2 linked regions of the Neodiprion lecontei genome follow. The protein of the gene in region 1 purifies or fractionates together with the protein of each later gene. This does not show direct contact. Links are inferred from orthologs where the notes say so. Each region holds a gene or a part of one and is shown on either strand. Other genes may lie near its edges. The genes, in order: nucleoporin Nup43 and nuclear pore complex protein Nup133.

Region 1 (15,905 bases):
CATGATATAAATATTTACATATATTTGACCAACGTTATAATTAATGGGATTCACAATTCGCAGAACTCGACTTACAAATAATATTATTGTTTATAATGACCCAGATGATATTCACAAGTTCATACTTACCGTTGAGTATAGATTACGGATTATGTTTCCAAGAACGTAATGCCGATAAAGTGCGTCTGAAGCGATTATTTTTTCAACTTTTAGAAATCTACAAGTCCCTGGTATGGGAAACAAATGTTAATGAATTAAATATATCATCACAGCTGATTAATCCTTTTGAAAATAGAAATTCCGGCTTGTTAACTTTATTTGTGTTTTCTCGGAAAGGTAATTATCGATACTCACAAAAACATAAGAAAAAAAATAAACATATTAATAACACGCTATTGTAAAATGAGAGCTGGTTATAGTAAAAATTTTCCGGTTAATCGCTGATCTCTGAGTTATCGGATCTCTCAACTGTTCGGCAAACAAACAGCGAAAACAAAAATATTTCAACGAAACAGCTTGGCACGACGAAATGGTCCGCGTCACGTTAGTTCGTGAATGATTTCTGAATAATTTAATTCCCATTCTCGCATCTGTCTTATTTACACAATACATTTATGGCGTATAATAAATCTCGAAGAACAATGCTGCGTTATTTTACATGGATAGTAATTGATGAAGTCAGTTTTGCATCCGGCGGTAAATGCTAAATATTCAAATTAATATTTTGCAATTCAAGATTCTTATGTTACGATAGTCGGTCCGGTTATAATTTTTATGTTTTTTTTTTTCAATTTATTTCCTACTTATTATAGCTCGGCAAAAGATGAACACTACCCGAAAGCTGATTACCATTGCTGTATAATACCGCGGTAAATGTAATACATTGAGATAATTGCCCTCTCTATACGTATAACGTCAAGTATACATATATGTATATCTTCGCAAGGTGAAGGCCAAAATGCAAATCCGTTGGGAATATTGTATCATTAATATCTATAGACTGACAAAAAAAACATGCCAGATGAGAATAACCCGAGGCTGATGGTAGTCTTCGGTAACGCTGTACGTACTTAAATTGGCACTCATACATATTAGCGATATTTAAGTACGTAACTGTATCCTGATGAGTTTTGTACTATTTCTTCCAACTTTATGCAGTCACGCCGGTCGATAAACTATTTTTTAGAAGAAACGTTTAACTCTTCTTTTATGTCCGCTTACATTAATAGAGATAATTGTTTTCCTCCCTATATTTCTGACCGTATAAAAACGTATTTCATGTTCAGACCAAATTATTCTATTGCATGCACACTATGCGGATTACAGTAGTTAGTAACACCTGACGACGAGTGATCGTCATCGGAATCCCGGATATGCGATGATGTATCACGTCCTGACTATTTATCCTTAGGATAACTGAACAACTGCAGAGTATTTCATTTTGATCGTCCCAGATTACTCCGAAACTAAACAATATACGAAAAAATGTTGTTTTTTTTTTCCCCTAGCTGGAAAAGTATATTTTTTGTACAGGCATCTGAAAGGGTATCAAATTCTGGGTGATAAAGTACTACGAATTAACCAACTAAACTCGTCTGACACTGTTGGGTAATATTTGAAATGGTTTCATTTAAAATATAAATGGCATTTTGCATTTAACATTTTAAATGTTGTTAAAGTAATCATTCACATTTACCCATTTAAATTATGTTTTGAAAAGCATTATCAATTTCTTATTTTAAGTAGCTTAATTGAAGCATTTTACCCAGCAGTGTCGATGGGTCAGTGGAAATACTTGAGGACTCGAGTATTCTAATACCGGAAACTATAAGAATAGTTCTCTACGTGAAGTTTATAAAGTTGTACTTGTTACCAAAAAATAGCGCAATTTTTTTTTTTTTATTTCCCAACTTTAGTTCAAATCGTTCGTGTGTACTTATTTAACGGTATCTTGTTCTTATCGTTGATACTTCTCAGGGCAATGATATTTAAAAAAAACCAAGTTGACCTTCACTTGACCCAGGGTGTTCCACTAACGAAAAGTCTGACACTCTCGTATTCCCCCCCCCCCCCCCCCCCCCTTTAAACCATGAATATTTTGTAGTAAACAATATTTCGTATATTGTTTAGTTTCAAAATGAAACACTCTGTATACTGCAGATTACTGTATAATCGCTGATCGCGTTCGTTTTTCATTAAATAATTATACTTGCCACGATAGTTTCGATATTGAAATTGAATATTATACCAACCGTGCAATTAATGTAAGGCTCGCCTCGGTGAAAAACCGTGATCAATTCTTCAATACTCAATGTCTGAATGTTGAAATGACACTAAAATAATTCACTAAAGGATACAGTAAATCTCGCTGTGCATCTAATTTACGAATAAAATATTGTCACAATAAAGTTTTTTTAAATTCAATTTAATTTCAGAGTTCTTTTAAATTTTTGTAATATTTGAGGAACACTAACTTGGCAAATGCGCTGAGGCGTGTGATTGTTGAATCTGATGAACGACTTGTTTTATACCGCGGTTCAAGTCTTCCCGCAAACGAGGAATGGCCACAGTTGTGTGCGTCTTAATATCACTCGCGCACACTTGTCCGCGGCAACAAATAGACGACTACAATAAAGCATCGGGTTTTATTACAGCCATCTAATGAGTCCTCTGCAGGGGATTTCAACGCACATGGGTAGGTGTATGTACACGGTAACCATACATGGACTGTTATTACATACGTGCAACCTGTAATTACTGTACATACGTAGCGTGATGATCAAGTAGAATATTATACCTGTTGTGTACAACACCGGTAGAGTGATTTCTGACAATTGATTGCTGGTGAATAATACGGAATTACTAATTGTGTAAACAACTTGATGGATTAATATGGCACAAACAAGAATTGGTATAAGAATTGATACGCACGCACCTTTTTGCAATGAACTTTAGCGTTAAGCATTGCAGAACCTCGACATGACAATCGTACGACAAATCTTTTAGAAAAAAGACTTTTGCGGAAATCGTTTTTTTTTTTTTTTTTTTTTTTTTTACACTTTTCACTATTGAGCTTGCCCGGACTCTGGAGTCATATCAAACGGATCGTGATATGACTCGTTTGGTAGGCAAATTTGAAAAATCGCTGTGTTATGCTGACTTAGAATCGGAAGTTTCTCGACTACGACTCCGCAGCTGGGACTGTAAATATCAAACAAACGGAAAAAAATTAATGGGCAAAGTACTGGAGGTATATCTACAGCATCATGGGTTTAGTCATTCTTGTTTAATAGCTAAAAAAATATATTCTTACTAATAAGTTAATACGAAAAGAAACAACCAAAAATGTCGATAAAATTCTTATCAAACGGCTTACACGATGACAATGCACAAAGCTTTCATTAAAAATATGTACACAATTTACACGATGCTTAGAAATTAGGGCTTCCGTCTGTTTGACATTGAGACTTGCATTCTCGGGAGAAGCTTCGACTCTTTAGATTTAACTCAACACTTGAATGCAACTGAAATCGAAAAAGTCTCAATCAAATATATAGATCAATCTAAAACTTTTATTCGAGATTTCGTCAATATATCTAGTAGTGACGTTGTAAGATTACTTTATACCCTCATCGAGAGTGGTAAGCTTGTTACACCAACTTATCGTCTGTATGTTACAATATCAAAACGATTGATAGAGCAAAATTCATTTCGAAAAACTTTCACAATTATCAGGTACAAACAAGCAAGTTTACCGACTAGGAACATATTGGATGATCGAATCTGTAATCGATGTGAGTTTTCCAGTTCACCGACACTAATCGCTGTGTAAAGATTCAAAGCAATATTATCGGTAAATTGAAAAGTCGACAGTGTTGTGCACGGTATGAATGCAATTGCTCTGATGGGTAATGTAGATAACAAATGCCACTTTTTTTAATAAGTTCTTCGATTTCTATTACATTTCCATACTTACATATTTTAAGAAAGTATGGAATGTACCTAGCCCAACGCTGTTCATATATGAGACATCATCTAATCTCCCGAATGTGTCCATAAGTCGCATATGTTCCAATTTTATTACAAGGCGTTTGTTATCCTCAAAGGTTTACCATTGCTTGAAACATGAGCATTGGATGACAACCGCATAGCACTTTGATGGTAATCTTCTCGTTAGCTGGTATGAATATCGCGGAGCCTCGTGTAAGAACTATGGAGGGGCCAATCTCTGCCTTGCCATTGACAATAATTAAAATGCTGCCTGTACTTCTTGGTATTAAATTATATACTGCTCTTCCAGGTGGTATCTGCAACATATTTCGATTAAACTTGTGTACATTGATATTACGCTGAATTGACATAAAATAATAAAGCACTCACAGTAATCTTTGCAACTGCAAAATCAGGAACTGGAGGTCTGAATATTTCTGTACACTCATCTTCCCGTGACGGTTGAAACCTTTTGGCAGATGCTGGCTCACAGTTGTATGTCAACATATCTACTAATGTATTTACATCTTTTGGTTTTGGGGTTAATCCTGCTCTTACAACATTGTCTGAGCAAGCCATACACTCGATACAATCTAAATATAAATAGCAAAAGTTATTATATTCATTATTACCATAATAAAACAAAGAATGTGTATTTACTAAACTGAAAATATTTCTGAATAAAGAAGTAGATACTGAAAAATTTCAATGACAGAAATTTGGAAGGACTCGCTCACCACCCGAAAGATATGCATGAGGCTCGTTAGGTCCTAGAAATAAAGCTTCCCCAGGCTGTAGCGTTACCCAATTAAACAAGTAAACACCAAAGCATCCAACATCTCCAGGAAACTCAGAGTGTAATTTCTCTAGCAAGCTGCCATTGAGGGCTTGCCTACCTGATTCATCTGAAACAAGACAACTTTGCCTGTAAAATCATGGGTAGAAGTTACAAGATTATTCAACACAGATGCCTGAATACCAACCTAAGTGCGATAGTCTGTTCAGTAATTTTTTGAGTTGCAATGCAACAAATCCTGGATCACAGGTCATAATATTTTTGAAGCAGTTTTTGAGAGCTGCATGAAGACCTACTTCATCCGAATTAACCAGTTCCAATATTTTATCTTCTCCTACAACAGCACGGAATTCTGGAACAACCTTAAAGAACTGCTTGATTTCAGATATTGGACGAAATCCGCACAGAGCTTCAAACGGGGTAAGAGCAATCGCTAGTTCTGGCTTGTGATTTGGATCTTTGTAAACGCCAGGGTTCAGCTTGTGAAGCCTCTCAGCATCTTCCTAAAACCAGTGTTATTACTTTGTAGACTCAAAATTTTCGATTCAATGGTCGGCATCGGTGGGAAATAAAGTTTTCACCTTGTTGGGATGAGCTTGGATTGACAAAGCCTTGTTAATCGACAAAACTTTTAATAAAAATGGCAGTTGAGGGCCGAACGTTTCTTTTACACCATTGCCCAGCATATGGTTGTGCTCTTCGATATATTCGGCCAATAATTTGTTCCCCTCCTTCAAATATGATGGTCCATTGGGATGCGTGCCCATCCAAAGCTCTGCGTAAGGCTTGCTCTCGTCTAAAGAAAAATCTGGATTTGCTGCCTTGACCAAATTTGCTACAGTACTTTCGATACCACGTTTCCCCCACTCGTATGACTGGACTGAACATTTTAATTCCATTTTGTTGCTTCAGTTTCTAAAAATTAAGACAAGAGAAGTTATAAATTACTATAACAGTAATATTATTAATAATTGTGATAATGATTACAAAATAATAGACAGGTGCCTGTTTGGGAAATTCTTTAAACTGCTAACGAGTACACGTCAACACTTGAGAATAACTACGTGGAATGAGAGGTGAGCTAATAGAACACAATTATCCAGCTGATTAAATACAAAATTAAATACTTGACTGGTTTGGGAAAACAGATGAGGACTTCAGAGAACATGGAAAGATATGTGTTAATATTAGCAAAAGATGAATGACCATAATGTATGTGTACAAAGGTGTTTCACCGAAATATTTCAGCGTAATAATGACCAAGTGGCAAGTAAGGAAATAATAATGTTGATTTTCTTGCAAGTAACAGAGAATTAGGTGGATGAGATTTTGAACTTAAATTGCAGTTGACGTATCGCGCAAACACGATGCACTATAAGGAAATAGAAATCGTTTACATCGATGTAATAACAGTAGTAATGCCACCGGTGATAAGATAACATTTATAAACACATTACATCCTAAACATACGTAAGGTTAGAGATCGATTGACTCACAAACGTGTCCTTCGTAACATACGTTCGCAATCGATCACAACAGTGTTGTATTAACAACCTGTCCAAAGTGCAATATCGGATATCAAACGGACGTGAATACATGTGTCAATATGACGAATTGTATATCGATGGGATGTACTATTCACAATCAATTTACAGACGCTTCGATGAGAAGCAGGTTCGTTTAGTATCTAGTAGCCGGAAAGTTGTTGTAAAGTTAACATCTCAATGTAATTTTACGAGATCACTGACCTGCGCTAGGTCAGTGTCGCATACGCTGATTAAAAACTGAGCTGACTGTAATTATGGAGTTGATTTTCGTTAAAAGATAAAGTTGATAATGTGTTGCGAAAGGCGTTGAATATGTCGAAAAACTTTTCGGCTCTCTAACCGCGGAACACAGCCCAGCGACCAACTTGCGACTACGGACACTGGAGCACACGCACGCAGAATACTAGATGACGTATGCATGCATGCTGTATACCTATGTATGTATGCGTATGTGTGCGGGTGCTATAAGTACGCATACACGTGATGCATCTCGCCTACGCCTCTACCTAACCTACACTAGCATAAATAGGTATATATGTATGACTTTCATCCAGCGCTATTCAATTTTTTTGGAAAGCACGTCACACGCTACGTCATCATGTCCCTTCACGTGTGATGACGTCGTATGATAAGACCCTTTGACTGTTTACGATTTGTGATTGGGTGCCCCGTTGAATCCAGTATTTAAAACCTCATTGCTCGGAAATTGAATCACGGATACTATAGATTGAATCGCTATGAATCTTTTTATGTTTTCTCAAGATTAAGAACAGTTCACAAAGTCAGAATATTATTCTTGTTCAAATAGTCAAAATATAGCTCGTATTTTATACTTTTAACATAGGTATAACAACTGGAAAACGGAGCAATGAGGCTGTATTTGCTAGACGTGACAGAGAGTGTCAGTCGTTTGAGTCGGGTTAAAGTTCGATTAGCGTTGTGAACCGGATGTAACTAAAAGATAATTACAGAAAACAATAGTACTGATAAATTAGTATCAAAGAAATTTGCAACAACTATTTCATGGTACATACATCAAAGTTCAACCCGACTGGCCGCCTTTAACCTGACTCCAAATCAACACCCATCCTCGGTGGGTGTGTTTTATTTACCACATTTCAGAAACGAAAGTATTGAAAGACTCATATGATTGGTTAATATTTAAAAATCAGTCAACCGGTAGCTTCTTTTAAGCCTTTCGTTTCCAAATGAGATCAGTGGGCCACAGTCCTTTATTCATGATGCGTGCGCAGTTTTTGTCGAGAACCGAGTAGTGGCAGAATGGTTTGAGGGAAAAACGGTTTTGATAACCTCAACAATCAGAATTCAAATAAGCAGATACAAGATATCCAGGTTGTGGCAATTAAAATGAGTGAAAATATTCACGGAACATTTATTTCCGAAAAAGTATCAAAGATCAGATGGAAACCCGAGGACTTTGTTGAAGCAAAATCGTTTTTAACTGGAAGCTGGGATAATCCGGTAGGGTTAGGTGATAGGTTAGAAATTACGCCGATCACCTATTTATTATTCAGTAGTTTGTTTTACAGCAATTTAAAGTATTATTTACATTCTTGGATATGATTTTTGATTCACGAATTTTCGATACTTTAGATGTATTTCTCTGGTATTACGTGTTTCTTCATTTCTTGCAAATTAATCACAACAGTCAAGCAAACTGTAATAACAAAGAAAGAAACCCGGAGTTTTTGATTGAATGTGGGCGTTTACACAGGGGTTAAGCTTAGGATTAATTTGCGCTCTCATATACCGTTGCCAAAGTTCATGAGTAATCGTATTTTATCGCTGTCCAAAACCATCATATACGTTACCTATCATGTTCATGGACTTCAAAACAGTGCAACTAAGGGTAGAACCTGAATCCATCAGTACTGTCACTCTGCTATGCAAATAGCCATAGCGTTTTGAATTTTTCTTCATTCAGCTTTTATAATATGATCAAATCACACAGGTGAACCATATAACATATTGGACATTCGACACAAATGAAGAAGACGACGAGTCTTATCCCGTGATAATATCATCCCACGCATTTCTCGGCGACGTTACAGAATTAAGGGTAATAAGTATAGATGAGCATTAAATAACGATTAGATATTACAACGCTATAAACAGTAATTTTGTAAATTATATTCGGTGTTTCATCCTAAAACAAAGTTGGTTTTTCATTTTCATAATTTTCTGTGTTTAAGTTTATCAGCAAGGATCTGTTCGTGGCATCATCCTCTATTGGTACTGTACAATTGTTACAAATTCAAGAAAATCCTTATGCACAATTCAAGGAACGGTTGTCATGGAATTTTTTACATAAATTTCCGTAAGAAATTTTATTTCCCATTTATATGATTCCCTTTGCTCAAGCATCTGAGAATCCGACATTTGACTGAATCCGTTTATTAGACTCTAAACATTACGTTGAACAATTTCAGAGCATCGGATTACGCTTCATGTACGGCCATCTCAACTTTCGAGCAAGACATAGTCACAGTGGGAGAAGATGGTACGATCAACTTGTTAACAGCCAATCAGAAAATTCCGGTGAGAACAATTGGTAAGTAAACAGAAAGTAAAAAAGAATATCAGATTAAAATCACTAATGAATATTCATTTGTCTGGCAAAATTGTATCTAACTTGCCAAATTTTTGCCTACTTTATTTTTTTTTTAGAAAAATCAGATAGCTGTTCCATGCACTGTGTTGATTTTCTAAGGCATAGTGAAGTTTTGACAGGAAATTTATTGGGGCACATGAAAGTATGGGATTTAAGAAACAACCAGGATGTTCCCTCTACTACTTTTATACTCTCTGCAAATACAAAGGTAAGATTTTAAATACTTTTTCATTTGTCGAAGTGGCAACTGATTTCATAAGTCAAAATTTGTTCTATTTATTTTCTCAGACCGAAGCCACAAGTTTAGCACATCATCCTACACAGAGACACATTGTAGTTGCTGGTGGCGGTGACGGTAGCCTGACAGTGTGGGATTTGAGGCATAACACATATCCGGTTTCTCAATTAAATGCCCATTCCAGCTCGGTCAGCGAAATAAAATTTCATCCTGATAGACCGGAAAATTTGTTTTCGTGCTCGTCAAGTGGACAGCTATGGCACTGGAACAATGCACAGAACACTAAATTGAAATTAGGTGATTGTTATAGCGCGCGAGTTCTCAATTTTTCTGTTACTATACTTTATTCTACTTTTAAGATTGGATCATTTGAGACAACGAAGTCACTGTAATTTCTTTTTAATTATGATTAATATATGTAATTATATTACAGATTCAGGGGACACGCATTGGCTCAACACAATCAGTACAAAAGGAAAAGTGAATGTAACGTCAATGTGTGCAACGCTTCACAAGCCAATCAATACAATCGATGTTGACAGGTCCACATTACTCTTTGGCTGTGACAACGAAGCTATGTATGTCATTAAAAATATCGCAGTGTAAACAACTGCATTTATGATATACTTGTACAATATTGTGTCTTATTTCATAATAACTGTAATTAAACGCTGCCGTCTGTATTTTCTAATAAAATTGACACTCGTTTTTCAATCTCATAATAATTATAACAATTATCAGCCGCATATCTCTTTGTGCTGAAATTTACTTGACAAATTATGCGATACAACTAGAAAAGAACGATCGCATCCCTCTGTACGAGATGCTCATACGTATTGATTGTTACGAATTTCGAGTTTGAGAATATGTATTCCCGACAAAGTCGATACTATTTTATGCGGAATTTCCGCATTTTTCCGGTAACACCTAATAATTTTTTTTGTTCTTTATCGTTTGTCATGGAAGATGTGCTCATTTGGTATTCAAATCTCGTGTTTTATTGTAACAACTCGTGTCGATTGCGGAAGGTCAAGCAGGGGAGAAAGATGTTGGAATTGCCGAAGGTAACGTATGTGCACCTTCTTGACTTTAATTAAGAAATCAAATTTATCAAAGACAAAAATGTATTTACGTGAAATTCACTCTGACTAAACTAGAGAAATCCGAAGGTATTACGATTCCACATGCGTGGAATATTATCGAGGCACGAGTTTTGTTGACAATGAGTTAAATTTACGCAAGAATACAATTCTCATTTGAAAAACTACAATATGTTAGCATTTGACCAGTGAAAATAAGTTCACTCATGCTCGTTTCCACACCACCGCAAGCGGTAGAGCACGCGGCGCGTTTTTTTTTCTTACGTGGTATCCCCAGTAGGCCTACTCCACGGAGAATAATAGCAAGATCGATCTTACGTTCTTCGACAAATTGCGGATAACTATGTTTCACGTGTTAATTATGGTGTACTGTTTTTCCCAATCAATTTGTACTCGCGTATATTCGCAGTTTGTTCGAAATTTTTCAGTTAGTATGGCCCGCTGACTATTTATTATAAATTAAAGATGACTGTTTTAATTATGGATGGAAGATCATTGTTTTAATTATGGATGAAAGGTGATTGTTTTTATGTTGTAAGCGAACGCTGATCTTTGGATGTTCGGTTTTTTTTCTTATGATGTATGAGATAATCACTAAAATGGAGAATTCAGTAAATATGCAAAACAATCAATTAAACCAAGATCGAAAACGCGAATCGCTGTAAGACGTTGGCATTTACCTACCGGAAGACGATGCAGAAATCTTTGAAGAAATGAAAACAAATCGGAGGAGTATAAGCACAACCACCCAAATACGACGGAGCTGTATAATTCTACAGTGAAATACAAACCGAACATGACCTATAAGCGATTCGAGAAAAATAACTCTTGAGACTAAAACAATCGCAATAAAAGACTGTATAACCATTTAAAAAAACTGCAGGAGAAAAAATTTGACCACACTTTGTGATCATGATGATTCTGAACTACATCGCTAAATCTATGTATCGGTGACAACTAAATCAGACCTGAACCAAACCTAAATCTAAAAATGGTAACGTTAATTTTTCAGTAGTACAGTCAATAAAACTCATTTACCTGAAACATATGAAAATATAATTAGTGACATATATCGATACAGACAAAAATATACTTAGCTTAGATAAGTAAAAAATATAATAAACCAAAAAGAGACAAATTAGTTAGTTTCAACAGACAGAAAATTTGATTAGCTGAAAAGGCAAGAGGTTTGATAACTGAAACGGACAAAAAGTTTGATTAGCTAAAAGAGACAGAACGTTTGATTAGCTGAAACAGACAAAAGTTTGATTAACTGAAACAGGCAAGAGGTTTGATAACTGAAACGGAGAAAAAGTTTGATTAGCTAAAAGAGACAGAAAGTTTGATTAGCTGAAACACACAAAAGGTTTGGTTAACTGAAACAGACTGAAAGTTGTATTAGCTGAAATAGACAAAAAGTTTGATTAGCTGAAACAGACGAAGATATGGTTAGCACAATCACATAAGTCCATGTACTGACAAAAAATAGGTTGAGTCCAACATATTCGCTTTAATATACGTTGCTTCGATTATTCATTGTATTGATCAATAAAAAACATTCTAAATTTTTTAAATAGACATCTCTCTCTGCTTTGAGTTATTGAAGTAAATATTTTTTTCGATTGAAAATTCTTTAGTTCTCAGTGCGTTTGTTAAAAAAATTGGTCAAGTTGCCCTGAAACAGAAAATAATGCGATCAGTTAAATAAGTGTTTCTGTACATTTCAGATATATTTCATAAATACTTACGCCAAGATTTTCCACTATCACTGTACACTATCGAGATTTTTGTACCAGCGCGTTGAGCGCCGGGTTTCAAATGCTGCGCTTTCTCTCATAACTAAAAGATATCAAGTCCACGCGCAAAAGACACCGTGGAACTTGAAAACTTTATTATTTGTAAAAAAATTGACAGAAGAGCTGAAAGATCAGCACATCGAGAGTGCGTAACTCTTTTATATACTGTTTGAAAAATCGACGAATAAAAAAACGTGTCCCATTCCCGTTATTAATTTACGCGCAAAAGGCTGCGTCCAATTCTCATGATTAATCTACGCGCAATAAGGCGCGACAGATTAAACTGTCAAAAAATTTGTATTACCTGGGACTTGTCCCAAAAATTCTGTAGAAACCCAATCCACATCTGTATCTTTTTGAATTAAGTACATTGCTATGCGGATTGTTCTTCTCAGATCATAAATCGAATCGAAATCGGGAGGGAGGTTGGAGGGCATGCATTATTGTGTGGCGTGACGGTCGGCGGTCCTCTTCGACGCGAAGTCTTCGAGCTCAGCATTTCTCTCCATCTAGCGTACCACGGAACGCGATAGATGGTCTAGAGATGCGTTTTGCTCATTCAGACGATCACAGAGATCAACCTCATGCAATAATGGTCGCTAATGACTAAATAATTGAATTGAATTGAATTGAGTGACGATTGAAAAATGGTTGCAAAGCGACAAGAAATAGGAAATTCAATCTCTTTAATATTCAAATGCTCACAAATGATCGAGAGACTCGAATACGGAGTCATTTGGGTAAACAATTTCTGTGATCGTTTGACGCTGTGGATTATAAAAGTTAGTAACATCACGGTACATCGCAACCTACCTACCCTTGCCTGTTTCCCAACGCAACCACCCAACGGAAAAGAGACTCACACACGCATGCATAAGCCCCGCGACGTGTCCCAAAACGTCCACCTACCTACCCGGTTACCTATATTCGATCTAAACGATTCTCCATTTTTTCCAACACACGTCATTCTTCATCATTTGCGCCGTGGTCATCGACTTACATTTTCGTTGGTTACCTGTTGGGAGCAAAATGTTTTTGTATCATAGTCTGCCTACTCAGAATATAGTATCGCAGTTGCATTCCGCCAACCCTAATATTGTAGTAAATCTTGGCAGACTATCGGTACATTAACCTTTTGTAAAATTGATTAAAAACGTCCTGTATGCCAATTAGCATTTTTCTAAGCGAGCTAAGCCTGCAGTTGATCAATATTTGTTGGCTGTTTAAAGATTGAAAATGATGCATAATATAAGATGCAATTTCATTACGTTACGTTATGCCAGCCTTTGGAATTTTATCGATTTAACAATAATGTGAATAATTGAATACGTTCAAACCTCAGGTGAACCCACCACTTAAACGACATCATCGGTAAAGTCAAACGTAGATTACTACAGCAGTGTGAAACGCAATTCGATCTCGCGAGTGCCGAGTAAGTGATGGTTGCCTGTCGCGATACTCATTCCACTTTTAGCAACGTGCAAAATTTATAACTTTAAGTAAGCTACGATAAATTGAATTGCGAAGGAAAAAATTATTCGACTAAAGGTCAAGCAAGTTGTGATCGTGAATGAGCCTATCCATGCAGCTAAGAAATCGAAGATTTGTGCAACAATTGTTACCGCCACGCCACGTGACAGAGGAATCCCAGGGAAATACCCATAATCTAACACGTGCAACTCACCAACATTGCCGAGGAATGGAAAAATAACTCGGAAGTCTCTGCTTAGATCTGTAAAAAACAAAACAGAACATTTCAATTAATTTAATAAAATGGCTTTTCAGTCTGCAAATTAATTATTACTGTTGTCCAATTTCGTATTCATTGCATGTTATGCAAGAACAAAAGTTCGGCTTTGTATGTACCACCTTGAATTATCAAACAATAATGAAAATAAGTATTGTTACCTCGACTCTGGGCTGCTCCACACTTTTACATGTAGTAGTTCGTGCAACATCTGAAGTTTATTGGAGAAGCGAAGCACGTTTCACGTAATTTAGATCGTCACTCTCATAGTCCAAAAATCCGCACCGCAATAACACTCGAGGCTACATTCACTTTGTGTGCTGTAGCTGTCTGAACCGACTGAATAAACTTTTTAACTATACAACTGCGCATTTACCGAAGATCAGCAAAAAAAAAATAAAATGAAACTGACACACGACGCACAGATGCTAAAATAGACATCACTGATACCTAAAGGTACACAAAACAATGGAAACTCGAGACACGAAATTCACCTTGAACATGTTTTCATTTCAGTAACTCGGTTTCTCTTCAAGCTACACGCTACTCTTCGTGTATTGTTCACAGATGAGTATGGTGCAAGTACACTGATCGAACAACGCGGTCTGAATGTTGAAATAATCCTGCGTACACATTACGCCGCTCTCATCTCTCGGAAACGACTGATTCCGCACGACGTTCAGAAGAGAGTTAAATCAGTTCTGTGAAGGACGGAAGATAATAATTCTCCCGCCCTCTATGCTGCTCTTCCCATGGAGTGGGGGTAGCTGCACACGCCCGCCTGCGCCCACCTAGCTGTTTTTTCCCTCTCGTGGCCCCCCACTCCATGAGCAGACCGACACAGAGGGCGGAAGAATTATTATCTTCTGTCCTTTAGAGAACCGATTCGAATCCGTTGACGGGACGCTTAGCCCGTTGTTTATGCTTTATTTTATGTATCCCTATGGTCTCAACGGCCGGGTGAAAACACCACGTAAGCTACGCGCAACGCGATCAAAATATGTTTAGAGCTTTGCCGTAATATGCGACGTCAGGCGAAGTATGAATTCCCGGACCACTCATAACAGACATTTCTTGAACAAGATTTTGTCAAATTTTCAACTTCACTATGACGAAGGTATGTTACCAACGTTTTGCAGGCGATAGTGTAGGTTATGAGGCACTTCTTTCACCGGCGTGGTCAGTTGCTAATTGGTTGATAATACGGGAAACTGCTAATACTCTCAAACCGACCCGACCCGGCAAACTGTTACGCAAAATAACCACTGATATAGGTATTAATATATATCAGTGAAAATATCCCAGATTATCAGACTTTATACATTCTCAGTCGACGATACAAGTAAGGGGAAAATTCTGCGAAATACATTGCATTTAAGCCACGAAGCAGAATATGAGCAATGCTGTATGAGATAGTAATTAAGGTAGTTTGTGTACGCAATTTAAGTTCCAACCTGTGTGTAGGGGCAATGCACCTGTGCAGGATGCGAGATGTATGATATTGTATTGTTACTATTGCATGTAACTTAGAATAAAATGAATAATACCAAAATAAGTTTCATCATATTTTTCCGTATATTCTCAGCTTGTGTTGATCCTACGATGCTCCAATAAATACCTTTTTTGCATGCAGTCCTTGGGGTCCAATTAGTCCAGAAAGGGCTTTTGAACAGATTCTGATTGTAAGACGAAAATTTTCCGAGCTCTGAAAATCGCAAACAAGCAAGGCTATACCCTTTTGTATTTAGACGGTCGAAATTTGGCCTATTTTGAAAAATAGTTGCATGAATTCTTTGATGCACTATATCGACGTAATTTTGCGAGAGGAATAAATTGCGCGCAGTCAGAACACGCTATGAGCTACTTCATCTTGCTTCTTCATTTTCACCATTTTTTCACACTTGCAATTAGTAATCCTAGATTTCTTAAATCTGCGAATAGAAATGTTATTGAGGTCCGTTGACCTAATCACGTGGGTTTTGACGTGCGGCATTTTCAGGGGCAACTTTTCCTGCGACGTCGTAGTGCTATTCGCGTCAATTTGACACTCTGAAAATAT
Region 2 (16,190 bases), about 8.2 Mb from region 1:
CACACATTCAGTAGCTATGAATAAGCTTATACAATTTATTCTATTATTAATTAAATAATTAATATTCTTATAATATTTAACGGCAATTGTAATTATATTTCATCTGAAATATTACAAACTTGTCACGTTTACAATAAATTATTTTAATACATTTCTCGTGCAAGCACATATTCAGTAGCTATGATTAATCTTATACAATTTATTATATTATTAATTAATTGATTAATTATATTAATCCTTATACAATATTTTTGATGTGTTCTCATACTGAAAATATTCATTACTATTCCAGGTATAACGCGAGGTGGTTGGCGGTGGTTGGAGGTGGTCGGAGGTGGACGAGGAGGAGGACGAGGTGGACCAGGAGGAGGACGAGGAGGAGGCGGGGTGGGTCGTGGGAGAGGACCTCTCCTCTCCTCAGAGGAGGGGAGGGGGAGGGGCAGGGAAGTGGGAGCGGTGGGCGGGGAGGGGGAAGGGACGGGAAGGGAAGGGAAGGGAAGGGGAGGGTGGCGGGGCGGGGGGAGGTAGGGCGGGAGGGAGGTAGGGGGGAGGGGGGAGGGGGGAGGGGGGGAGGGAGGGCGGGAGGGCGGGAGGGCGGGAGGGCGGGAGGGCGGGAGGGAGGGAGGGAGGGAGGGAGGGAGGGACGGCGCGGGGGGGGGGGGGTGTACTGCTCTATTGACTCTAACGGGCTCGCATCGATATCCGTTCTCCACTCTCTCCCTCCAACCCTCCCTCCCTCCCTCCCTCCCGCCCTCCCGCCCTCCCTCCCCCCGCCCCGCCACCCTCCCCACCCCTCCCCTTCCCTTCCCTTCCCTTCCCTTCCCTTCCCTTCCCTTCCCTTCCCTTCCCGTCCCTCCCCCTCCCCGCCCACCTCTCCCACTTCCCTGCCCCTCCCCCTCCCCTCCTCTGAGGAGAGGAGAGGTCCTCTCCCACGACCCACCCCGCCTCCTCCTCGTCCACCTCGTCCTCCTCCTCGTCCAGCTCGTCCTCCTCCTCGTCCACCTCCGACCACCTCGGGTGATACCTGGAATAGTAATGAATATTTTTAGTATGAGAACACATCAAAAATATTGTGTAAGGATTAATGTAATTAATCAATTAATTAATAATATAATAAATTGTACAAGATTATTCATAACTACTGAATATGTGCTTGCACGGAAAATGAATTGAAATAATTGATTGTAAACGTGACAAGTTTGTAATATTTCAGATGAAATATAATTACAATTGCCATCACATATTATGAAAGTGTTTTACTCACCCAGCACAAATCCTCGCCCTCCTCGTCCTCCTCCTCGTCCACCTCCGACCACCTTCAACCACCTTAGGTTATACCTTGAATAGTAATAAATATTTTCAGTATAAGAACACATCGAAAATTTTGTGTAAGGATTAATATAATTGAGTTATTGATTAAATAATTATTTAATAATATAATAAATTGTATAAGATTATTCATAGCTACTAAATATGTGCTTGCACGAAAAATGAATTGAGATAATTTATTGTAAACGTGACAAGTTTGTAATATTCCAGATGAAATATAATTACAATTGCCATTAAATATTATAGGAATATTGAACAATTAATTAATAATATAATAAATTGTATAAGCTTATTCATAGCTACTGAATTTGTGCTTGCGCAAAAAATGAATTGAAATAATTCGATGTAAACATGAGAAGTTTGAAAAATTTCAGATAAAATATAATTACAATTGCCATGAAATATTATAAAAGTGTTTTACTCACCGAGCACAAATCCTCGTTCCCCTCCTCCTCAATCACCGAGATTACCCGCAACCACCCCTAACTACCTCCAACGAAAACTGCCAACCACCTCGAGTTATACCTCGAATACTAATAAATATTTTCAGCGTGAGAACAAATCAAAAATAATGTGTAAGGTTTGATATAATTTTTTTATCGACATATTTTACTAAAAAGATTATGAGAAGATTGTAAAGTTAAAGAAATTTTATTAGCGCACCGACAGCTACTGAATTTGGGCGTGCGCGAAAAACGAATTGAAATAATTTATTGTAAACATGAACCAGGAACCACGGAGCGCTTATCCTGGAAGTCGAGAAATTTTATTAGCGGACTGACAGCTACCGAATTTGAGGTTGCGCGAAAAACGAATTGAAATAATTTATTGTAAACATGAACCAGGATCCACGGAGCGCTTATCCTGGAAGTCGAGAAATTTTATTAGTGGACTGACAGCTACTGAATTTCAGCTTGCGCGAAAAACGAATTGAAATAATTTATTGTAAACATGAACCAGGAACCACGGAGCGCTTATCCTGGAAGTCGAGAAATTTTATTAGCGGACTGACAGCTACCGAATTTGAGGTTGCGCGAAAAACGAATTGAAATAATTTATTGTAAACATGAACCAGGAACCACGGAGCGCTTATCCTGGAAGTCGAGAAATTTTATTAGCGGACTGACAGCTACTGAATTTCAGCTTGCGCGAAAAACGAATTGAAATAATTTATTGTAAACATGAACCAGGATCCACGGAGCGCTTATCCTGGAAGTCGAGAAATTTTATTAGCGGACTGACAGCTACTGAATTTCAGCTTGCGCGAAAAACGAATTGAAATAATTTATTGTAAACATGAACCAGGAACCACGGAGCGCTTATCCTGGAAGTCGAGAAATTTTATTAGCGGACTGACAGCTACCGAATTTGAGGTTGCGCGAAAAACGAATTGAAATAATTTATTGTAAACATGAACCAGGAACCACGGAGCACTTATCCTGGAAGTCGAGAAATTTTATTAGCGGACTGACAGCTACTGAATTTCAGCTTGCGCGAAAAACGAATTGAAATAATTTATTGTAAACATGAACCAGGATCCACGGAGCGCTTATCCTGGAAGTCGAGAAATTTTATTAGCGGACTGACAGCTACTGAATTTCAGCTTGCGCGAAAAACGAATTGGAATAATTTATTGTAAACATGAACCAGGAACCACGTAGCGCTTATCCTGGAAGTCGAGAAATTTTATTAGCGGACTGACAGCTACCGAATTTGGGGTTGCGCGAAAAACGAATTGAAATAATTTATTGTAAACGTGAACCAGGAACCACGGAGCGCTTATCCTGGAAGTCGAGAAATTTTATTAGCGGACTGACAGCTACTGAATTTCAGCTTGCGCGAAAAACGAATTGAAATAATTTATTGTAAACATGAACCAGGAACCACGGAGCGCTTATCCTGGAAGTCGAGAAATTTTATTAGCGGACTGACAGCTACTGAATTTCAGCTTGCGCGAAAAACGAATTGAAATAATTTATTGTAAACATGAACCAGGAACCACGGAGCGCTTACCCTGGAAGTCGAGAAATTTTGTTAGCGGACTGACAGCTACTGAATTTCAGCTTGCGCGAAAAACGAATTGAAATAATTTATTGTAAACATGAACCAGGAACCACGGAGCGCTTATCCTGGAAGTCGAGTTTCACCGCGTAGCGGACCCGAAGCGCGGGATCCGGGAGGTTGAGAACCCGGTACTCGAAATACGTAGCGGACCCGAAGCGCGGGATCCGGGAGGTTGAGAACCCGGTACTCGAAGTTTGCGGAGCGCGACTCTCAACCGTCCGCTCTACTGCGCGGTTGTTACCAGACTGAGGAACTCGGCTAGCCGATTTTAGATTGGTGACGTCACTTTCCGAACATCCGAAAATTCAAACTTTGGTTTCGAACTGTAATACTAGGTATGATGATGTATGATGTATGATGTATGATGTATGATGTATGATGTATGATGTACGATGTATGATGTATGATGTATGATGATATGATATGATGTATAATGATTCTAGTGTTCACATTTCATACAAGAAATACACACTTTATCTGTCCTGCCGATTCCAGACTCAAGCGGCCAGGCCCTTCGATGGTCAGCCGTTGACTGAAGATATATCCTTTACTTAACGGGTCAGCCGATAACGCTGCCGTTCTGCGACACTTGGATGATGAAAAATTTTGCTCGTATCTTTCAAATGTGTGTTAAAATACACTCGAAGTGTTAAGAAGCTTCGTTCTTTCTCTTCCTATCACCTTTTTAGGTCTTTAAATCACTACGCAGCGTTAAATACTATCTCATATACGAAGCATCCATTTCATCTCGTTCAAAATTAGCGCATCCGTGATGTATTACAGTTACTCTGAATTTTTTTCCATCCGAATACTTTTCGAAAAACAATTTTGCTTCTCTACCCAACGTAGATACTTCACTCTCGACTAGCTAGAACAGCGTTTTGGTTATATGCCTACGAAAATTCAAGATCGAGAGAGCAAATGAAAAGTTGTTGAAATAATTATGAATACTAATGTTATGGAATACATCGAGCGCGCGTCGAATAGAATCCCATTTCGAAGTGAATAATTCTTCTCTTTTCATATAATAGCTAATCTAGTAATATAGGTAAATAGGATGGTTGGAGGTGTTCGGAAATGGTAGGACATTTCAAAAGTTAAGGCTGACGCCCACTGCACCGCGGCGGACCGCGGCGCAGTTATCGTGAGATGCGCCCACTATAGTCGCGTGACCACCCGCCGATACTGTTTCTACGAAAAAGAGATATTTATCAATTATCTGATGACCACGATTTGTCTCAGTCGTCATGGGCACACAATAAATAATCATGCATATTTGCCACTACTTCTTGATTACTCATTATGGATAGCTCAGATGAAGAAGTGTTTAACACGAAAAAAAATTACTAACAATTGTCCATCATAAATTCGATAAAAAGGAAAAAAGGATTAAAAATCAACCGACAATGCTCATCTTTCGCCAGAATTTTTGTTTCTACCTAAACTATTTCGGGTGTGGCTCGTTGGAAAATCGTAAATTTTTTTATTTTGAAACACCCTATTATACATATAATATATGTATAGTAAAAATGAAATAAATTTTAGCTCAAAATATACTCTCTCATTTCTTATGCATAAAAATTAATACGCAAAATAAAAAACAGTCTTCATGAAATCAGCATCATACCCGAACAATGAGAAAAAAATAAATTTTTTACATAAAATAATCCGTTGATCATAACTTGTTGTTCTAAAACTCACATTTACTTAAATTTCTTTAAAAATGAAGTAATTACTTGCGTAACATTTATTTAATATCCGTAGGATTTATTTAAAATGTAAAAATGAATACATTTATTTTTCGCAAGAACAGCGGAGAGAATGAAAAGAATCCTTGTAAACCATAACCATTTACATCAAAGTAACGCAGGTTTCCCTATTTTTATACTTGGGATGAATTTCGGCATCGGTCGGGTGTTCACACTAGACGACGGCGATGCGCGGCGATGCGCGGCGCACCGCCGAAATATTCCCAACCTGGAACTCGCGAAAAATTGCCGCGGTCCGCCGCGGTCCGCCGCGGTCCGCCGCCGTCCAGTGTGAACACCTATATGGATAACTGTATGAGCGAAAATTTCGCCGCCGTCCGCCGCCGTCCGCCGCGGTCTAGTCGGCGTCAGCCTTAAAAGTTTTTCGCCCAAAAAAACAGCAAGGCTTACCCCTTTGTATTTTTGGCGAAAATTTTTCCGATTTGAAAAAGCGCTGAAATAAATTATTTCACCTACTACTCCGACGTAATTTTGCGAGAGAAATAGATTGGGCGCAGTCCCAATACGCTGCGATCAACGAATCAAAAGTTACAGCCAAAAAACGAAAACCCGAGATTTCGACATTTTTCAGCAGGTGCTTTTTCCTTCGTGATTTCTATCCTGTTGATTCCACGCTGTTTTCGCTGCGTTTTCTGAGTTCCTCGGGGTCCAATTGGTCAGAAAAGGGCCACACAAATCGAATCGGAGACTAAAAGTTTTCCGCCCAAAAAAAACAGCAAGGCTTACCCCTTTGTATTTTTGGCGAAAATTTTCGCGATTATGAAAAGCGCTGAAATGAATTCTTCCACGCACTATTCCGACGTAATTTTTCGAGAGAAATCGATTGGGCGCAGTCACAATACGCTGCGATCAACGCATCAAAAGTTACAGCCAAAAAACGAAAACCCGTGATTTCGACATTTTTCAGCAGGTGCTTTTTCCTTCGTGATTTCTATCCTGTTGATCCCACGCTGTTTTCGCTGCGTTTTCTGAGTTCCTCGGAGTCCAATCGGTCAGAAAAGGGTCATACAAATCGAATCGGAGACTAAAAGTTTTCCGCCCAAAAAAAAACAGCAAGGCTTACCCCTTTGTATTTTCGGCGAAAATTTTCGCGATTTGGAAAAGCGCTGAAATAAATTCTTTCACCTACTACTCCGACGTAATTTTGCGAGAGAAATCGATTGGGCGCAGTCCCAATACGCTGCGATCAACGCATCAAAAGTTACAGCCAATAAACGAAAACCTGTGATTTCGACATTTTTCAGCAGGTGCTTTTTCCTTCGTGATTTCTATCCTGTCGATCCCACGCTGTTTTCGCTGCGTTTTCTGAGTTCCTGGGGGTCCAATTGGTCAGGTGAGGGTCGTTTACATCGAATCTGAGACTAATAACTTTCGACTCTGAAGTCGAAGAAATAGTAAGGCTAACCCCTTTGTATTTTTGGCGATAATTTTTAAGATTTTGGAAAGTGCCGGAATGAATTCTCTCATGCACTATTCCGACGTAATTTTGGGAGAGAAATCGAGTAGGCGGAGCTTCAATACGCTGCGATCAACGCATCTCAAGTTGCAGCCAGAAAACGAGATTCTGCGTTTTCGACATTTTTTAGCAGGTGCTTTTTCGCTTGCCGTTTCTCTCCTGTTGGTCCCACGCTCTTTTCACTGCGATTTCTGAGCTCCCGAGGGTCCAATTGGTCAGGTAAGGTCATTCACATTGAATCTGAGACCAAAATCTTTCGGCTTCAAAATCGAAGGAAAAGTAAGGCTAACCCCTTGGTATTTTTGGCGGAAATTTTCATGATTTTGAAAAGTGCCGGAATAAATTCTTCCATGCACTATTCCGACGTAATTTTGCTATAGAAATCGAGTAGACGCAGCCTCAACATGCTGCGATCAACGCGTCCAAAGTTACAGCCGAAAAACGAGATCCCGTGTTTTCGACATTTTTCAGCATGTGCTTATTCGCTCGCCGTTTCTCTCCTGTTGGTCCTACGCTCTTTTCGCTGCTTTTTTTGAGTTCTTGAGGGTCCAATCAGTCAGGTAAGGGTCATTCACATCGAATCTGAGACCAAAATCTTTCGGCTTCAAAATCGAAGAAAAAGTAAGGCTAACCCCTTTGTATTTTTGGCGAAAATTTTCGAGAGTTCGAAAAGTGCCGAATTAAAATTTTTCATGCACTATTCTGACGTAATTTCGCGAGAGAAATCGATTGGGCGTAGACCTAATAAGCTGCGATCAACGTATCTCAAGTTACAGACAAAAAACGAGATTTCGAATTTTCGCCATTTTTCTGCAGGAGCTCTTTCCCACGTAATTTCTCTGCCGTTGGTCCTAGTTACTTTTCGCTTGTGATTTTTGAGTCCCAGGGGGTCCAATTAGTCAGAATAGGATCATACAAGTCAAATCTGAGATTATTTATTCATTATTTACCATGTGCTTTATTCTATTAAGGTTAGAATCTTATCATGTCCAACTTTTTTCATGTTTTTCATTCTACGGTCCACACAAAAATTTAAAAACAAATACATCACTCAAACAACTTCACAAGGGAGAAAGGCTTTGACCTGACTTATTCTTCATTTTGATACCGTTGGATATAGCGTTCTCTGTGTTGCCTATCTCAGCGACAACAGCACTCTTTTCGGATTTAACGCTAAAAATTTTCTCCACTTTCATAGACCACGTTCCCAACACAGCGTTCGGTCTCCCTACTTCTAGTCTTCATGGTTTCGCGCTTAGCTGACTACGGCGCTGTAGGTTTCTTCATGTTGCCAACTCAACTGTCTACAGTGAAAAATTAGCCGTCCCAGATTCATTGTCCTCAAGTGTACATGCGCATGCGCACGCGCTGTCGGCTTGCCGCACACTCAACTGGCGGAATGCGCGACCTAGTACGAAAATTGGTCCCCTATCGAGCACACCTTACTTGACTCCTTACATCATGGTCATGAAGATCGATTATCGAAATTCGAAGTTCGAACACCGGCTTCGAAAATGCGCACTGAAACGTACCAAAACAAATTGTGAAAAGATTATGCTGTCAGACCAATATCAAATTCAGTTGAATTACAATTTCTGATGCGTATTTGCCAGTTTCAAAGACCAAATTTTCTTGCATCATTTATTCATCCCAGTACCAACTCGAAATGGATCGTCCGAGCATGAGTGCATCTTTGGGAAACACTCTAACCTCACCACGAAAGAGAATGTCATTAACGCAGTCCCTGAAGAAGAGTAATTCGTAAGAAATCTTCCTACTGTATCATTGATTTCGCAATCCTTATCTCAGAATACGGGAAATATTTCGGCAAATTTCCACTTCAATGAATGATTAAAAATTTTCGAAATCTCTTCACCAAATGTAAATAATGTTTGGGATTGAATTCGTTGGATGAAGAAAAATACGATATATTTCCGAGAGAATTTCAAGCAGTCGGTTCAAATCCCCAGTTATATTTCCATGGCCCTGAAATATAGTTTTCTACATAACCAAACCATGTGTAAACCAATAATTTCTTAGCATGGTTCATAGCTAAGATGGGTAATTAGGGATACTGGGTAGACGAAACTTGATACTCTTCAATAGTCTTATTATGAGGTTGTCGTCCCTGGAGTATTCACCAAACTGTTATAATCATAAGTTGAGGAGATATCACCAAGTTTGAGAATACAAAAGTAAATATTACTAAAGTTATAACTGAAAGCTTAAGTATCAATGTTTCGTTTCCAATTGCTGAAAGACGGTTGCAAATATATCAGATTCCAGCCATTTGTTTCTGCAGGTCCTCATTTTATTCAAGAGACCATATTGTACATATTAAATCGAACAATGTCTTCATCATAATTGCATATCTGATTTTTTGATATTATAACATTGCACCAATTTCGATTATGGTCAACAAATGACAATATTAAATTAAACACTGAAAGAAAAAAGAAAATGTCTGAGAACATAGAAAATAGTCTTCGAAATAAAATAAACTCTAGTCTAATGAAATCAATCCACACTGCTAGATTTTTAACTTTTTCGAAGCAATTTGAGATCAAGTATCGGTATGTAAGCTCTTGTTTGAAATCCCAGTAATATTTATTTGGGTATTTTTAACGTGATTTTCGTAGCTTAAGAATATAGTAATTGGTTAAATACTCAGTGTATGACAACCTCGTAATAAAATTGATAACCAGTATCGATATTTGGCCCAAAAACCTCCTCAAAAAAATATCTATGTAATGTGAAACAACGTAAGTTAATTTTTTTCAAATATTGAACAAACAACGCACATACACGCGTAGCCACCGCTAAACATACTGCGGAACTTATAAAGTATCGTAAGATTTCACCTCTCATCGAATTTCAAATCCAGCTAACAATTAAAATGCGCTTATTTGTTCTCATCTGAATATAAATTGTTCAATTCCAGAGTAATAAGCATTTCGGGGCGATCGAATCAGTCTGTCCAAGTAATATGCAAGACGGCTGGCCATGTCGTGGAAAGTTTCGGACCTTCTTTGCCGGTTCTTGTGACCGAGGCATTGACGTTTGTTGATCGAAACACCGCAGTCAGCGTCAGTGTGTCTTTAGATGGATGGGCTTGGCTGGTTTGCGGGCGCAGGCTCCTTGTGTGGCAATGCAAAACAACCATTCATGATCCCAAGCTCAGGCGGACCTTTAACAGTCAATGTCGAGAGTTGCTACTTCCTCAAAGCGACCTTGCTCACAAAGCTGACTGCATTGCTGTCTGGCTGACTCCGGGTCATCAGGTTAGGTGTAAATCTAGGTGTAACAAGGAATAGCATACCTGAAGTTTCGATTGATCAAGCTTCAAGATTGGTCGGAAAGGATTCCAATAATACCGAGTAGATCACTGTAAGACTCGGCCACAGTTTTAATAATTCTCTACTTTTCAAAAGCCTCTCAGGTTTCATTCACTTTTCAGAAATTCGTCATCTAATCACAGTATTGGTAGAAAAGTTTGGTTTTCGATCAGACTTGGTTCATCGAAACTTCAAGCATATAGGTCATAAAGAATAAAGAATTTGGTGAACAGAAAATCAAGTAATTTAATTAATTTAGATGAGAAAAAAATTTGACAAATTTAGAAACCAGGCTCCGATTCATTTTTACTGGAGGCTTTCGACTTTAACCTGGAAAATTTTAGTCTTTCTGTAAGGATGTTGTTATTATATCGCATTTTATTAATCATATTTCTCATATTTCTCATTTTTTTAATACCAAGGTTCCTAGCTGCATGGCTGTATCTCCGGAAGGCGTAGTTCGCTACTGGTCAAGCGTCGCTCATGAGGGGTCGTCGGTGGAAACAAGCGCAGAATTGGCTGGACAGGAGGTTGACTGTCTAACTTACGTACCAGGGCACGGTTGCATTTTAGCAACGACGACTTGCACAGTGGCGCTTTTGCAGCCGCAATTTACCAGTGGACGAAACAGCATTTCTTGCCGAGTTCTTCGCACCAGCCAAGGCTGGCTAGGAGGCATAAGTCGTAGGATGTCTTCCTTGATCTTTGGAGCCATGCCTCAATCTCCAGTCACTGAAACAGTACTGAATTTTTTAATTTATTTAGCATTTTTAGAGGGATTAACTAGGCTCAAAGTATAGTATAACCACCACTCACGAAATCATATGAAATCCTTTGAAATTATACGGTGAAATCTCAGGAAATCTACTGAAATCCCATGAAACCTGTTGAAATCGAGTGAAATTTTTTGAAATTCCTAACATTTTATGAAATATTCTGAAATCCTGTAAAATCCTGTGAAACCTCCTGAAATCATTTAAAATATTTGATATTTTTGTAAATACAAGAATCCCCTGAGACTTCATAAACTGTTTTCAAATTGTTTGAAATCCGGAGAAATTCTGTGGAATCTTGTGAAATCATTAGAAACCACCAGAAATCACTAGAATCCTTTGAAATCTTATGAAATTCTGTAACATTCTGGGAAATCTTGTAATATCTATGAAACCTTAATCCTTAAATCTGCTATACACACAAATTGATGAATTTATTTTCAAATAATTAGTGCTCGGGTTTTGTGGAGCAAGAGATATTTCAATCCTAGTTGCACATTTTCATTAAGTTGATTAAAGTTCATGCGAAATATTCCATGTAGCTCGTAGCAAATAATCTTTCAATAACAGGTGATTTTTCACATGTCGATAGAATTTGTGAAATATCGGTACGACCTTCAATATTTCTGCATCTGCAATCATGTACGTTAGCAGGCCGCAGCTTTCGCACGGTCGTCTGAGTAAAAAGTCACAGTCGACGATTTTCTTTCTGATTCAATTGTCTAGTGACGGTACTTTTTAATTACTTTTCTAGACGGCTGCAAAATCTATTTTTCTTAATAAATCAGTGCTTTAGTAAACAGTCTATTTGGAAGTATGTGTTGCTTATTCACAGAATGTTGATGGAGAATTCAGCATTGCGTATCCAGTGGTTGCTTAAAAGTGAAGTCTTTTCCAGACCAGAGGACTTGATAAAATTCTTTCCAAGACTGCATCAGTTAAAAAAGAAAGAAAAAAAATCAGTTTTTATGGAATGTATAAAGTTTTGGACAACATAGATATGGCAGAATTTTTTCCACTCTCGCGAGATATCTCCAGAAACTTTACCGATTTCTATTTTGACATTTCACTGAATTTCACTAGAATGCATGGAATTTCATGAGATTTCTCACTTTCTTGTGTTGAACAGTAAGAGTTTGCCTGATGTATTTAGTTTTTCAGAAACTTGTCAAGGTTACTTGTACATCGCTTGGTGAAAAAGCATCCAGAGTCTTGATATTAGCAGGCACCTCTCTGCAATACTGGTCATTTCCACACGGTGAGACGGAGAAGATGGAATTTGACGAAGACATCGGTCACACAGTTTCACAAGGTTTTCAACGAAGATTTTGGGTATGCAATTTCAAAGAATACCCCCAATTCCAGATTTCTGCACTGTTTTAGGGACTATATACGAGTATATAGCTGAAAGGGTGGGTTATTCTTAGAAATTTATATTTCTACAACCAATTGTTCAATTCGATTAGATTTGATGTTTTCAAAAGCATGTGGCTTCAGTGAGCTTCATTTAGAAATTTTTTCTCATTAGAATCAATTACCGAAAATCACTGCTATTGACAATAACGTCAACGATTTTGCTGCGTCAAAAGTTTTGAGGTGACCATGATATTTGGCGCAATCTCATAAACGGCTCAAACCAATTTACTTTAAATTTAGAGATAGCATTTTTGGACAGTTATGTCACTGATCAAAAGGATTGGCATGATTGTCAATGGTAATGCGCCTTATTGATTAGATCTGATACAATAGATATGTAAATGATGTTCTGAAATTGCAAAATTCATTCACTTTTTCAGCTGTCTAGTCATACGTACCAACTTATTTCTGGTTGGATCGGAAGCTAATTCAACTCCCTCTGTAAACTGAGTCGAGTTTCTCTTCTTTTCGGTAATTTTTCTTTCAATTATTCATCACAGGAATCCAGTGCTTGCGTGCCTCAGGGTATGGATACCTGTTTAATCGACATGCAGCCATGCGAAGAAGGCGTAGTAGTGCTGATGGCAGCAAGTTGCACAGAAGTATCGCCAGAAATTCACTTTGCGATTGGTAATCCCCTAAAACTTGTTACTAAACAAATTTTTTTTTATACATCTTTATTGATTTTAATGCGAAAATAGCAGTAAAAACTTAACAAGCTTTTCGACCAAATATCCATTCAAAAGTTTATTTATTCAGTTGCTACAATTGAAAAAACAAATGTTCGAAAGCTATCATTTCTGTTGAAAAACCCCAAATTTCTCCATAACTGAAGTTGGTGTCGGACTTCGGTGATCAAATGTTTTGTTGTATTTTTTTTTTTTTAAATAGACGTCTAGGGACCAAAAATACTTGGATATCAAAGTATAAGAATACGGCAATGAGAATGTATCAGCAAATTTAATTCGCAGGCTCTATGATCCGAAAATTTGAAATCGTTCTACGGAAAGAGCGTAAGCCAGAAAAAAATGGTATGTCCTTGTAGTCTAATATTAGCTGACGTTCCGTCTGGCGAAGCTCCTGTATTAAATTTGCTGAAACCCCGTTCTGTGTTATGGCAAGGTGGTTTTCAGACATTTAAAAAAAGATACAGAAAGTATGAGTTATTTAATCAACGTCATTAATTACACTTAAAACTGATAATATCTTCACAAGCCTGGTTATTTAATCGTATGAAGTGTAAGATGTATAAATTCAATTTTAGACACATTTTTAATGTAAAAAATACAGACTTTTTACCTTTATATGTCTACAATGCATACGTGTACATTCGTAGGTTTAATTCCACTTGTTGATACGAAGTTAACAAATACACTAAAGTGGTTTATACCTTTGAAAATTGGTCCTTTACGATACCGAGATGACATCGAATCTACAATACTTTCGTATCGATTCATCTTGTCTGGATGGGAGGCCATTATATACAACCAACAGACGGTACTCATTGCAAACCGTGAGTAGCATTTCTTAGTTTAAAACGGTACTATTTACTTCTTTGATGAAAGCTGAACATCTAAAAAGCGGACGGCTAGGTAACAGTTCCAGTTCTTAAGTATTCTCATTCAATTTGATAAGTTTATTCTGTTGATGTGTAAACTTTATACAGGGAATTTCCATCCGTTTTTATCTAGCGTTGGACGGTCATAATTCCCAAATTTATTGTAACTTCAGTACACGGTAATGCGCCTGTATTTTTCTGTTTCTTGACATCTAATTTTTTCGGCGTTTTTGAACATCTAAAACAATTGCGTCAAATTATCACCAAAATTGTAAAAACCCTAAGATCTTGCTGAAAGTAATATTTTCATTTATGTGGAAGTTATGAATTATTTACTACTGTTCAGATTTACCGCTCAATCTATTACTCTAGATTTTTCAGGATGCTCTGAAAATTCTATATAGAATGATTAAAAATTCTGGACACCCTTATAAATATTTTGATAATTGCAAAAAATCACTTTTACAATGGTTTGGATTTGGTTCCAAAGCTACTTGTTAAAAGAGGCCGATGAGAGAGACTTTACTGTTTTTCCTCAAGGAGACATGTAGAATTACACATCTACTTTTTATGTACCTTATACATTTATTTTCCACTCTTATCTTGCACCCCCTCTTTTAACCTTGTTCACTTTAAAATTAAAATATTGACTGAAAATTCCTTCATTTGAGTAATGAAATACTTTTTGGCCAGTTTTGAAATGTTTTGAACGTTTCAGAAATTGCGTCTTTTTCAAAATTAGCGTTTTTCTTGCGATGTGAGAATAATTCTACAAAATAGTGGCAATCGAATTATTAGAAAATTTTATGCCTATTTCATATACTTGACTGTTATTTATTATGCAGTATATCTCAAGAGAATCTTAAAAAAATAAAATGAAGATTATACGCTACAGTGTACAAAAAAGCAAATGAGTTAATTTCCAACTTTTCTGTTCAGAAAAGCCGGAGAGTTATTAAAATTTGTACGTCATGTTAATTTTTCTGACCATATTTTTATAGGTATGTCAGAACATGATCAAGAAAAAATAGATCTCGTCAAAGGCGGTGAAGATAACATACTTGGCGGCGCACTCTGTTCGGGAACTCCGGTACTTTTCACCAAAAATCTGGGGCTGGTTACGATCATACCCATGGATTTCAATGCTCAAGATTTCAACATGTATGTTGATGAAATTGGTCTAACCTGTTTGGTGGGAGCGTGCAAATAGTTTTAAATTATGAATAGTTTGAATCATTTGAGTATTCGATTCTATCACTTTTGTTATTTAAGCTCCGCTTGAATACTTGCATCATTTAGAATGAAGATATTAGCAAGACATCGTATTTTCTTTTTCAGGAGTTATTCTGACGCTAATTTCAGCCTCGATTATGGCGGCAACAATTCGACATTCGGCGCAGAGAATTTTGCTGCTCAATTGAGTAACAATGATTTGCAGGAAATGACCTTTACCTCAGATGGTGCAACGCAATTGAGTGCAGCGTTCCTTCTTAGTCTCAGACAAAATAAGGTAAAATACATAGAAAAAGGAGGAGAACGTCTGTTTCAAAAATTTCAATTATTTAATTCATTTGTGACATGAATTTGTTGTATTGTAACTATTAAGATTAGAGGTGTGCCAATCATTTGCAATCACGATAATTTAATTTTGAGATTTGATAACTGTTCGAATTTATGGTTTAACTAGCTGAAATTCGCTAATTCTTTTTATAAATCACATTCAATTTTCTATCCACAAGAATCTTATAAATATTCTCAAAACACGAAAAAACTGGAGACATCAGGATTGGAATGTGAACGATTTGAACTACTAAAACTAGTGGAATAATTGTGGCCATTCAAATTCATGAAATAATTCTAACGGTTCGAATTACAGAAATAATTTTAACTATTCAAACAATACAAACTATTCGCATGCTCCAATATTCGATTCGATTTTTTAAACGCATTTCACTATTTCTTTCGATTTAATTCGATCACTATTAACACACCTCTATTAAGAAAGCAAATATGTAAGATTACCAGATCCAGAAAAGTTGCGAGAGTCGCGCAAGAAATTGCAATTTTTTATAATTAGTCACTTCATCTTCATTGCATTGCCGTCGGACGAATCACGAAGTGCAGGATATTCAGAGCAACCGAAATTTAATGTTGTCAATTACTGCACGAGCTTATATTTTTTACAGGCTCAATGTCAAGAAATATTGTCGGGACTTTTTCCCCTTCAAGAGGAACCTGTAATGGACATTGACGCAATTTTGGACACAACAGTCTTAAAAGTCGCTAAAAATCTGATTGATGATTACCCAGCCAACGATCCTCGATGGACAGATCATAGGGACTTATGTCAGTATTTGAACAATTATATACTCGTGGTGTTTAATGTTGCAAAATGTGAATCTCACGTGTTTGAAGCTATTAACCCTAATTGCTCACTCTGGGTGAATTTCACCTCAAACATCTTTCAAACTCTTTGTAGAGTCACTTTCC

What was found.
Region 2: the proteins of nucleoporin Nup43 (region 1) and nuclear pore complex protein Nup133 purify together in Homo sapiens (affinity purification with mass spectrometry; 5 studies listed by BioGRID and IntAct, counting the BioPlex papers as one, with this or other methods). This does not show direct contact. The link is inferred for Neodiprion lecontei from reciprocal best matches to the Homo sapiens genes NUP43 and NUP133.

What each region holds. Positions count from the first base shown.
Region 1 is NC_060264.1:26,623,765-26,639,669, forward strand, and holds nucleoporin Nup43, read left to right. Parts: upstream 1-7,564; 5' UTR 7,565-7,701; coding exon 7,702-7,815; intron 7,816-8,305; coding exon 8,306-8,413; intron 8,414-8,546; coding exon 8,547-8,671; intron 8,672-8,783; coding exon 8,784-8,905; intron 8,906-9,021; coding exon 9,022-9,173; intron 9,174-9,253; coding exon 9,254-9,500; intron 9,501-9,636; coding exon 9,637-9,809; 3' UTR 9,810-9,922; downstream 9,923-15,905. Other genes in the region: mannose-6-phosphate isomerase, read right to left, coding at 4,101-4,307, 4,381-4,583, 4,728-4,895, 4,974-5,289, 5,368-5,685. UniProt on the Homo sapiens protein: Component of the Nup107-160 subcomplex of the nuclear pore complex (NPC). The Nup107-160 subcomplex is required for the assembly of a functional NPC.
Region 2 is NC_060264.1:18,451,937-18,468,126, reverse strand, and holds the start of nuclear pore complex protein Nup133, read left to right. Parts: upstream 1-8,949; 5' UTR 8,950-9,078; coding exon 9,079-9,191; intron 9,192-9,559; coding exon 9,560-9,899; intron 9,900-10,375; coding exon 10,376-10,693; intron 10,694-11,887; coding exon 11,888-12,058; intron 12,059-12,642; coding exon 12,643-12,772; intron 12,773-13,478; coding exon 13,479-13,655; intron 13,656-14,701; coding exon 14,702-14,861; intron 14,862-15,038; coding exon 15,039-15,210; intron 15,211-15,886; coding exon 15,887-16,046; intron 16,047-16,190. UniProt on the Homo sapiens protein: Involved in poly(A)+ RNA transport. Involved in nephrogenesis.